Linked DNA regions of Arabidopsis thaliana. The protein of the gene in region 1 interacts with the protein of each later gene in a pairwise test. Each region holds a gene or a part of one and is shown on either strand. Other genes may lie near its edges.

What was found.
Region 2: the proteins of NRP2 (region 1) and HON4 interact in a two-hybrid assay, tested with the Arabidopsis thaliana proteins (one study listed by BioGRID).

Annotation. Positions count from the first base shown.
Region 1 is NC_003070.9:6,480,381-6,485,609, reverse strand, and holds NRP2 (NAP1-related protein 2), read left to right. Parts: upstream 1-1,963; 5' UTR 1,964-2,146; coding exon 2,147-2,263; intron 2,264-2,567; coding exon 2,568-2,690; intron 2,691-2,785; coding exon 2,786-2,836; intron 2,837-2,924; coding exon 2,925-2,996; intron 2,997-3,119; coding exon 3,120-3,233; intron 3,234-3,325; coding exon 3,326-3,387; intron 3,388-3,509; coding exon 3,510-3,573; intron 3,574-3,659; coding exon 3,660-3,719; intron 3,720-3,815; coding exon 3,816-3,863; intron 3,864-4,084; coding exon 4,085-4,144; 3' UTR 4,145-4,497; downstream 4,498-5,229. UniProt on the Arabidopsis thaliana protein: Acts as a histone H2A/H2B chaperone in nucleosome assembly, playing a critical role for the correct expression of genes involved in root proliferation and patterning.
Region 2 is NC_003074.8:6,168,349-6,173,855, reverse strand, and holds HON4 (winged-helix DNA-binding transcription factor family protein), read left to right. Parts: upstream 1-1,850; 5' UTR 1,851-2,297; coding exon 2,298-2,507; intron 2,508-2,593; coding exon 2,594-3,475; coding exon of another isoform or gene 3,476-3,547; exon of another isoform or gene 3,548-3,930; intron 3,931-4,018; coding exon 4,019-4,084; intron 4,085-4,187; coding exon 4,188-4,472; 3' UTR 4,473-4,893; downstream 4,894-5,507. Other genes in the region: HAL3A (HAL3-like protein A), read left to right, coding at 5,227-5,507.

The DNA.
Region 1 (5,229 bases):
CACTTGGTTTATATAATAAACCCTACAATTATGGTTATCGTTGAAAAAAAATAGTGGATAATAAAACAAAGCTATGATAATGGTGATTTTCGGGGAATTTACATAAGATCCAACCAAGATTGACGTCCAAATTAAGTTTGATCAGACACTAGCTAACCAGTCACACTATATTTTACGATGAATTCTATAATAATTTTGAAATTCAATTCAGAAACCCAAATTATCCAGGAACAAAATTGATACAAAGTAACCACTGAACATATATATATTCACTCCAGTTTTTTAGTCTTCGACCATCGTACAATAATACATGTTGCTTATTAGATTTACTATCTTCTTTGGAATATGATTTAAGTTCTTAACTATGTTTCTGCATGTTATACCATATTTGCAACTTTTAAGAAATGACACTAAAATATAAGGATTATCATTTCCACACCACATGTTTCACCATATCACATCCATGGACGTTACGCATTAATTGGAATGGATTATATAATAAAACATCGTAATTATATAGATCCCTCCCGTGAGTCACGACCCTACAAATTATGCATATCAGCATGTGGATAATAAGAGACGACGATGAGAACTTGACGTCGAGACAAGGAAATATCAATTAGTCTCTATGAGACTACACAAAACTGGCATTAACGTCGGATATATATTTGTAGCCATGCAATTGCAAACTTAGGGTTGGTTAGTAGTAAATGTGAAGGGGAATGTTCTCAAATTGGGACCAATTCAATAACTCGAAACGAGCTAATTTGTTCAAATAACGAATAAACAGAGTATGGGCATTGGATGCAAAATATATAATTAATTGGACCGCCTTAGACAGCACTATATTTATTGAATAAAGTTTTAATACATATCGGTAACATCTTAATAAATCTACATATTAAGATGTTACTGTATAAACATTTTAACTAATACACATATGAACAAAACTTGACATTCTTTTTTTCTTTACAGAACAAAACTTAAAAAAACTAATATTAAGCGAAATAATTCATTGCTGATTCGTTTCTAATGGTTCGACAGAATATAACGAAATTAATGTACTACCATATTTGTTTACAATTAGTGGAAGCCGAAAATTATGTCTATACTAATATTTTCTATGTATTTAAATCAAGTATTGTGGTACCACCAGCTGTGAAGAATGTTTTCAACAATATTAATTACTTTGTGACCACCTTACCCAATTCCATTCGATATTAAATAGGAAAAAGAAGTATACCTATTATTATGTTTTGTCTGATATACATACACATAAATACCCAACTAGAGCCAAACAACTCCAATAAATCAACCGTTGAATATGAATAATATGACACCTTTTTATTCATAAATGTGATCCTTTTAAACGTATAAAAATGGAGTAGTTAATAACTTAATAACTTAACTTAATAACATTGGTTCCTTTACACCAAAAAAAACAAACATTTTATTTGGGTCTCAAGAGGTTTATTAATAGTGGCCCATGTATAGACTGTTGCAATTACATTATTTCAGTAGCCCGTAAAGTTCCCTGGGAAGCCCATTTTGAGCCCATGGATAAGAAATTTAATTTAATCCACACAGAAAATTATATAAAGGGTGGGTTGATCAGATAAGTTATTAAGAAATCATCATGATTGTATTGTTTGATTTGTTACCTAATATTGTTTTTGTCACCAATTACATGAATTTTTTGTTGTTGTCAATACATGACTTTTGTTGTTGTCAACACATGACTTTTTCTTTAATCATAAAAAAACTTAAACAACATCACATCATTTAAGCTAGATATATTTTTGTTAATCACTTAATCACCATTAATCTATATATGGATGGGTAGATTCTATTATTTTTAAATCACAAAACCAATTATATAAAAATAAAATAAAAAACCTAAACAAAAGAAACATATGAAATTCCCGGCTCTAAATGACAAAAATACCCTTCTTCTGTAACGTGACGTAATCTAATTGGTTAACAAAACCCCCAAAACCCTAAATCAGTTTGCCCAGATTCACGCATCACACAATCGAGTTTTTAGGGTTTTAGCGGTTGCTCTCTCGGAAGCCAGAGAGAAGAGGGAAGAGGAAGTCTAATTCCTCTGCGTTTTTTGCAATTAGGGTTTTCTCAATTGGAATCGAAAATGGTGACAGACAAGAGCAAGAAGGCGAAAACCGAAGAAGAAAACGTCGAGCAAATCGATGCAGAGCTTGTCCTCTCAATCGAAAAGCTTCAAGAGATCCAAGACGACCTCGAGAAGGTAAATTCCAAAAATTTTTAACAATCCCCATGTTTAAATTTTCTCGTGAATTTTCCTTTAGTCGATGTTCATTTATTGCTTTGATCAATGAGAATTGTTGTGTTGGACTCTCTCTCGATTCAGATTTCTAGTGGACAAATTATAAAGAAAAGTCAGTATCTTTATTAGTAATTATGTTGTTGTTGTGTCTTTCGAGTGAAATGTGGTCGCTTTCAAATTGACTTTGTCAATAAAACTGTTTGAGGATTGAATTGTTGTGTTGAGTCCAATCTCTCAGTGACCTCTCTGGTTTTGGTTTTGATAGATAAATGAAAAGGCTAGTGATGAAGTGTTGGAAGTGGAGCAGAAATATAATGTGATAAGGAAACCTGTTTATGACAAGCGTAACGAGATCATCAAAACCATCCCTGATTTCTGGTTAACTGCTGTAAGCCAGACTCTCTGTTCTGTTTTTTTTTTCAATTCAGAGTTTTAAACAATGTTTTCTCTAATTGGAATTTTGGAAATTTACATTTGTTGTAGTTCTTGAGTCACCCTGCTTTAGGTGAACTTTTGACTGAAGAAGACCAAAAGGTTTGTGTTTTCCTTATTAGATTTTGATTGATTGATTCACAGTTTTCATTCTTTGTCCTGTTGATTCGATATTTCTGTTTTTGAACAGATTTTCAAATATCTTAGCTCTCTTGATGTTGAGGATGCCAAAGATGTGAAATCTGGATACTCTATCACTTTTGTAAGTTTCTTTTGTTATTATGCGACTTTATCATAATTTGATTGATATATCTCTGATTGATCTAAGAAAGCCAAGTTGTTTAGTTTATTCGTTTACTGATTGTTGTTACATTGTGAATTGCAGTCCTTCAATCCCAATCCATTTTTTGAAGATGGAAAACTGACAAAGACTTTTACCTTTCTCGAAGAAGGGACAACCAAAATCACAGCCACGCCTATCAAATGGAAAGAGGGCAAAGTAAAATGGATCTTTATTGCATAAAATAAGTTTATTTCTTAAGCTGTCACTGTTTTTGAGATTATTCTTAACTATATTTCTCAATTATCAAGGGCCTGGCGAATGGAGTGAATCATGAGAAGAATGGAAACAAACGTGCACTACCTGAAGAGAGGTATTTCTCATCTCCCCCATTTCACTGAAACCCATCATAGATCCAAGTTAAAACTCTTGGCACCATTCTTATTAGCCATTACACGTCTAAGGACTCTCTATCTTTTACCTGTCTTTTTTCAGCTTCTTTACCTGGTTTAGTGATGCTCAACACAAGGAGGATGTTGAGGATGAGATGCAAGACGAGGTAATGATCCTATATTTTTTTTATGACTTGATTGTAAGAGTAACTCCATGTATGGCCCAACTTGAACTCGGAAATTCGTCTTGTAGCAGGTTGCAGATATCATCAAGGAAGATTTGTGGCCCAACCCTCTCACCTACTTCAACAATGTAAGCTACTCACCATATCATTTTTCAGTCTTTACTTGGTTTAGAGCGCTTAAGTTGCTTGGAGATTTTGGTAAATTGTTAAATGTAACTTTGTAGGACGCTGATGAAGAGGACTTTGATGGAGACGATGATGGAGATGAAGAGGTAAAAGCCTCATCTTATTTCCTTTGTTTGGTTGAGTTTTCTACTTAAAAATTACTGCATCTATGATATGCTAATTAATGTGCATAATGAGATGAAAGATTAGATAGAGATATCTTAAGACAGAACATTGTGTTATTATTAATGCCTGAAACCATTTAAATTCTGGAGATTCCATTATAAGTTGTGCCTGATAAGTTTTTCAAAACCATATCTGTCTCTAGGAGAAAGAAGGTGACTCTGATGAAGATGATGACGAAGAAGACGAAGTTGGTGAGGAATGATGGCAGGGATACCCAGAAACCACATTTGCTTACATGTCTTCTCTATAACAGAGTGTGTAAAGTTTTGTGTGTTGAAAGGTTTTTAATTTTAAGCAAAAGTGGATTATGACGACAACAGACAAGCTTTTAATTTTATTTTACCGTAATAGTTATATCTTGTTGTAAGAAACCATTTTCAGCCTTTTGTTGGAAAATCCTGCTTAAATGGTTTTTGAGTCTTACATAATAGCTTCTTCATCTTTTGTCTTCTTAAAGAGAATTATATTTGTAATTTCATGTCTGTTGTGTTTCTTTGACTTTACTGAATAGAGAATTTGTGTGTTTATGGTGAAAATATAGCCGATCTGCTTGACAGATGAACGGAGTTTATTTTGTCTGGTGACATGACTCTGTTCTCTTATATCAGGATTTTTGAGAAACCCTTTGGTATCTTTATTGTTTGGTCTGAAGGTATGTATATACTTTTTGTCTTTGATTAACCTAGTAATATGATTACTAACTCCTGTAAGTTCCTCTTTCAGATCACTAGAACAAAGCAAGAAGTTGTAATATCTATTGTATAGTATAAAGATGCTCGAAAAATTTCAGATTCTGGTTAGCTCTAGTTGTACAGAAGAACAAAAAAGTCTCTAAAGACTCAAATGTTTCAGAACGACCTACGCCTATGAGTGTCTAAACCGGTTAAATCCGAACCGAAACGAATGGAAACAGTCTTGAGAAACAAAAGAGTAAAAAACTGATCATAGAATCACCTAGTTTTACTAAAAAGTGGTATTTAATAAAATTGCTCTCTAAACAACTTTATTAATAACCTACAACAAGATTTAATTTCTCATTTCTTAAGAGGCCATTAACTACAAGAATCACCTGAAAAGTATTAACTACTCGCAGCCATTATCTCCAATTAATTGAAACCGTTTTTTTTTTGGTGGGAAATGTATTATTAATTTCTTAACCGTTACTCGCAGCTCCAACTATAAGTTTATAACTATTTTTCGTTAACAATTAAAATATTAATTGGCACCATACGTTACAAGTTAACTGATTACAAATACTAAGGAGTATATAATACTTAGGAAAAACTG
Region 2 (5,507 bases), on another chromosome or scaffold:
GCACGTCTCCGGTCGTGTGTGACTCGAGAGGACCCAACCAAATATGCAAAAACATTTAAATAAAAAACATAAACAAATCATTTCAAATTCGAGAGAAAAATAAAAGGGTCTTAAAACTGTTAATTATGCAACAGATAGGCCCATGTAATGTTGAGGTCCATCACATAAGTAAACATTATATTGAAGGCTGATAATTCGGCCCGTTAAAAGTGTTGTTTATAAGAGGTTGTGTGTACTGTGTAGTGTGACATATCAGAGGCGACAAAACATATCATAATCTTTTGTTTTGTTGGAATTCTGGTGTGGTGATCGTCTTTTGTCATCTGCTTACTTGGTGTCTGGTGATTGTGTCTTCTGATCGTCTATTACCAGCCGCACTTTGTTTGACCCTTGCTTGAAAGTATTCGAGCACACGCATGCACACATCACAACACAGATATATTAGTATTAAAAGAATGAGCATACATAAATTGTTGTATGAAAACGACACGACTCAGGTGATACTTGGAGTTTGAATGATGAGCATATATCGGGTTTTACTTGCGCTTAATGCATAAGCATAAACGTACTGTACTCTTTATAATATCGTATTGTAATGTCAGTAATATGTACCAACAATTCTCTTGTTGGATGATTCTTTTTGGGTACCGTGATGTATGGGCTGGCTTTACCAAGGAGATAGGTGTGACACTTGTTCCCCCATAGATTTATCAATTGTTCTTAGTCCCATTGATTTTATTTGAGATTTGCTACTTCAAAATTCAAATGGTGAAATCTATCCAACTACCCTTTTGAATCCACACATATAATACACAAAAGTTCATTAAACAATATTAAAATGTCAAATGAAAAAAAAAGTTCTTCTAAAAAAAAAAAAAAAACATTAACTATATGTAAAACCACTAAATATCTTTAAAATTATCGCTCACTTTGTATCCTTTACATTACCCGTTAAAAATGCTTGTTTGTTATAAATTTTGCATTAAACAATTATAAATTCTAGTTTTTCATATTTTAAATTTTCTTAAATTCATCGTTCACTATTTATCATTTTTATTATAATGTTTAAATAAATAACGCTTCTTTGTACAAAACAAATTAAAATTTGCAATCAATACTTACTAATTGCATGTTTTTCCATATTTTGAAAATTTTAAAACTTATCTTTCATCATTTAATATTTCAATTATTCTTTTAAATATATCACGCTTATTTGTGATACAAGACAAAAGAAAAATGTATTTAGCACTTGGTAAATATATTTTTCCATATTTTATTTTTTTCATAAAGTTATCTTTCATCATCTATAATAAGAGGTTTACATTTATTTGTTATTTTTGTTTTACGTCGTACATTTATATATATATATATAGATATATATATATATATATATCAAATATTTTGTTAAAATGCAACTAAAGTTAAAATTTAATTCAAATGTAAATATCATACATTACTGTTTAAAAATATTTTAATGTCTTGTAATTTTTCCTTAATGAAAAACATATTTGATGTATCATTTTGTGATTAAGTTAAAGGGTCGCAAATAGATATATACTCTAACAAAATTCACAGAAAATATAAATTTGAAACTAAATTTTATGTAAATGTATCGATTTCAAATCCTAAACAGAGGACATAGAAGTTAGTAATTGCATTTGTTTTGCCATACTCATCTCAATACATCTCTTACTTATCATACACTCTTTAATGGAGTTTGTTACATGGGTTACTTAATGTAACAGTGTTTGCTATATACTTCATTCGATGTTATTCTAAAATCAACAAAATTGTTTTACACTGAAAGCGAGGAGTTCTTTTCAGAAAAATAATTTAAAATTTTGGCGGTCCATTTTTAAAATTTTGGTGATTTTTTATTACATTGGAGCGAAAATGTAGCAAAATTCTAAGAGGCAAAAATGAAAAAAATCAAAGTAAAGAAACACAAAATCCTTAAAATAAAAGACAAAATGATATGACACGTCATCGATCCTCGTCAAAACCGTCGATAGAAAACAAATCAACGGTTAGATTTAATAGTAATCTTTCTTCTCATCCTTTCGTCTCTACTCCTCCGCCTCTCTCTCCCCAACCTAACTTTATTTATTTCTCTCACAAAAATTTTATTTTCACAAAAACAAAAAAATCAAAAGAGCTCTCAGAGCAAAAAACAAAAAAAAAGAAAAAAAAACCCTAAATCTAAATCTCACCTTCCACCTCTGTCTTTTTTTTTTTTGTTCTTTTTTTTTTTTTTACTGTATCTTCTCTTCTCTTTGCTCTGCAAAAATCTCACATCCATGGATCCATCTCTTGGTGATCCTCATCATCCTCCTCAGTTCACCCCTTTTCCTCATTTTCCCACCTCCAATCATCATCCTTTAGGACCAAATCCGTACAATAACCATGTCGTCTTCCAACCGCAGCCGCAAACGCAAACGCAAATCCCGCAACCGCAGATGTTTCAGTTATCTCCACATGTTTCAATGCCCCACCCTCCTTACTCCGAAGTAAGTTCAATCTTAAAAGCCTCTTCCTTTATAACTAAATTCAGTTACTTTTTTTTTTGTTACTAATTTTTTTTTTCTGTGTGTAGATGATTTGCGCTGCGATTGCGGCGTTAAACGAACCGGATGGTTCGAGCAAGATGGCAATTTCGAGATACATCGAGAGATGTTACACCGGTTTAACTTCTGCTCATGCTGCTTTGTTGACTCACCATCTCAAGACTTTGAAGACCAGTGGTGTTCTTTCTATGGTTAAGAAATCTTACAAAATTGCTGGTTCTTCTACTCCTCCTGCTAGTGTAGCTGTTGCTGCTGCTGCCGCCGCTCAAGGTCTCGATGTTCCCAGATCTGAGATTCTCCATTCAAGTAACAACGATCCCATGGCTTCTGGCTCTGCTTCTCAGCCTCTGAAACGAGGTCGTGGTCGTCCTCCTAAGCCTAAACCTGAATCTCAACCACAACCACTACAGCAACTTCCACCGACCAATCAAGTCCAGGCTAACGGACAGCCAATCTGGGAACAGCAGCAAGTTCAATCACCTGTTCCGGTTCCGACTCCGGTTACAGAGTCGGCGAAGAGAGGACCTGGTCGTCCAAGGAAGAACGGTTCTGCTGCTCCTGCTACTGCACCAATCGTTCAAGCTTCGGTTATGGCTGGAATTATGAAACGTAGAGGTAGACCACCGGGTCGTCGAGCTGCTGGGAGACAGAGGAAGCCCAAATCCGTTTCTTCTACTGCCTCTGTGTATCCTTATGTTGCTAATGGTGCTAGACGCAGAGGAAGGCCTAGGAGAGTTGTTGACCCTAGCAGTATTGTTAGTGTTGCTCCAGTAGGTGGTGAAAATGTGGCAGCGGTTGCGCCAGGGATGAAGCGTGGACGTGGACGACCACCTAAGATTGGTGGTGTTATCAGTAGGCTTATTATGAAGCCTAAGAGAGGACGAGGACGTCCTGTAGGTAGACCCAGAAAGGTAAATTTTCACATCCCCCAATTCTGTATTCGTGATCTCGATTTTGCAATATCTGACGTTTACTGTGCATGATTGTTCACTGCTCCGCCGTCAATTTAGATTGATAAAGTTTGATACTTGTGTTGCAATCATTGTGGAATTCAAACTCAATGTCACTTTCCGCTTTTGAGCATTGTTGTCTGTTTTCGCGTATCCAAAATCTGACTAGTATCTAGTGTTTTTATTATATTTTCGTGTCCCTTACTTTTGGCTTATCCTTATCTGGTTTCTCTGTTTTATTTTAATTTTCGTTTGGATAATTAAGACCAAAATAGTCGGTAATGTATCGCTATAGCTAGGAATAATTTTATCATCAATTAGTGTGTTAATCCGGCTTAATGGTTTCTAAGTCATCACATAGTGTCTTCTTCTCTGTATCTTCTATTTTACTAGTAACGTGTTCAATTGGATCTAAAGTAAGACTTCTTAATTTAACCATTAATGTCTTTCTTGAATATGTTATACTTTTATCCAACAATTTTATTTTTTGGTTCATGAACCTAGATTGGAACATCAGTCACGACTGGGACACAAGATTCTGGAGAACTCAAGAAGAAGTTTGATATTTTTGTAAGTCTACTTGTTGACAATAAACAGTTTGGCTGTCCTTTATTTGATTAAAGTATTCGATTCTACTTGCTTATGTTTGGTTTTTGTATGTAAATGATTTCAGCAAGAGAAAGTGAAAGAAATTGTGAAGGTGTTGAAGGATGGAGTTACAAGTGAGAATCAAGCAGTGGTGCAAGCCATAAAAGATCTGGAAGCACTAACAGTGACGGAGACCGTTGAGCCACAAGTTATGGAAGAAGTGCAGCCAGAGGAGACTGCAGCACCACAGACTGAAGCTCAACAAACTGAAGCTGCTGAGACACAAGGAGGACAAGAAGAAGGACAAGAAAGAGAAGGAGAAACACAGACCCAGACAGAAGCAGAGGCAATGCAAGAAGCTCTGTTCTGAAGAATAATAATGATCTAGAAAACAACCTAGACATAATAGCCTTGGTGTTTGGCGTTAGGAGTGTTTTTTTTTAGTTGTTTTAGGTGTTGGAATCGCATCTTAAATTATATAAAAATCTATAAGGAATTTTAATTTTTCTAGGTTTTGTTGTCTGCAGAAGAAGAAATAGTAGACTCGTTAATGGTGTTGTTGTCGGTGTGTCTTTAACCAAACCATAAGACGTGGCTGTAAATTAGCGATGTTTCTAGTCTTCCATCTTTAATAATCTCTTATTGCGTCTGTGCCTTTGTTTTTTTCAATCTGTCTTCTGCTCTCTGCTTCCGCTTTGCACATTGTGGAGATGTTTTCGTGTCTATTTTCCACCCAACGGTTTTAGCAGGTCGACTCTTACTTAATTTCTTACTAATAATATCTTCATTTCCATCTCACGTTGGCTCAAAAAGCTATATAACTTTGACTCGAAAACATGTTAGAGTTAACACAACAGTCGAACTCAGAATCGAAATTGCAGTCCAAACGAAGTAAATATAAAATGAAATATATCGATATTCACAGCCCATACGACCGAGGCCTAAAAAAGAGTGAGTCAATGGCCCATTTGACCAGCAACTAAAATGATTGTCCTCTCGGGCCTCTCTCTTTCTCTTCCCTCTAAAACATTTTGATATTCTCTTCGACCAGATCAATTTTTCGGTTAGGGTTCTTCGCCGAACCATTGGCTACTTTGCTAGATCTCTGAAGGTGTAAAAGAGCTATGGAGAATGGGAAAAGAGACAGACAAGACATGGAAGTGAATACCACACCGAGGAAGCCTCGTGTACTACTCGCTGCAAGTGGAAGCGTCGCTGCTATCAAATTCGGCAATCTCTGCCATTGCTTCACCGAATGGGCAGAAGTCAGAGCCGTCGTTACGAAATCATCTCTACATTTCCTCGATAAACTCTCTCTCCCACAAGAAGTGACTCTGTATACTGATGAAGATGAATGGTCTAGCTGGAACAAGATCGGTGATCCTGTCCTTCACATCGAGCTTAG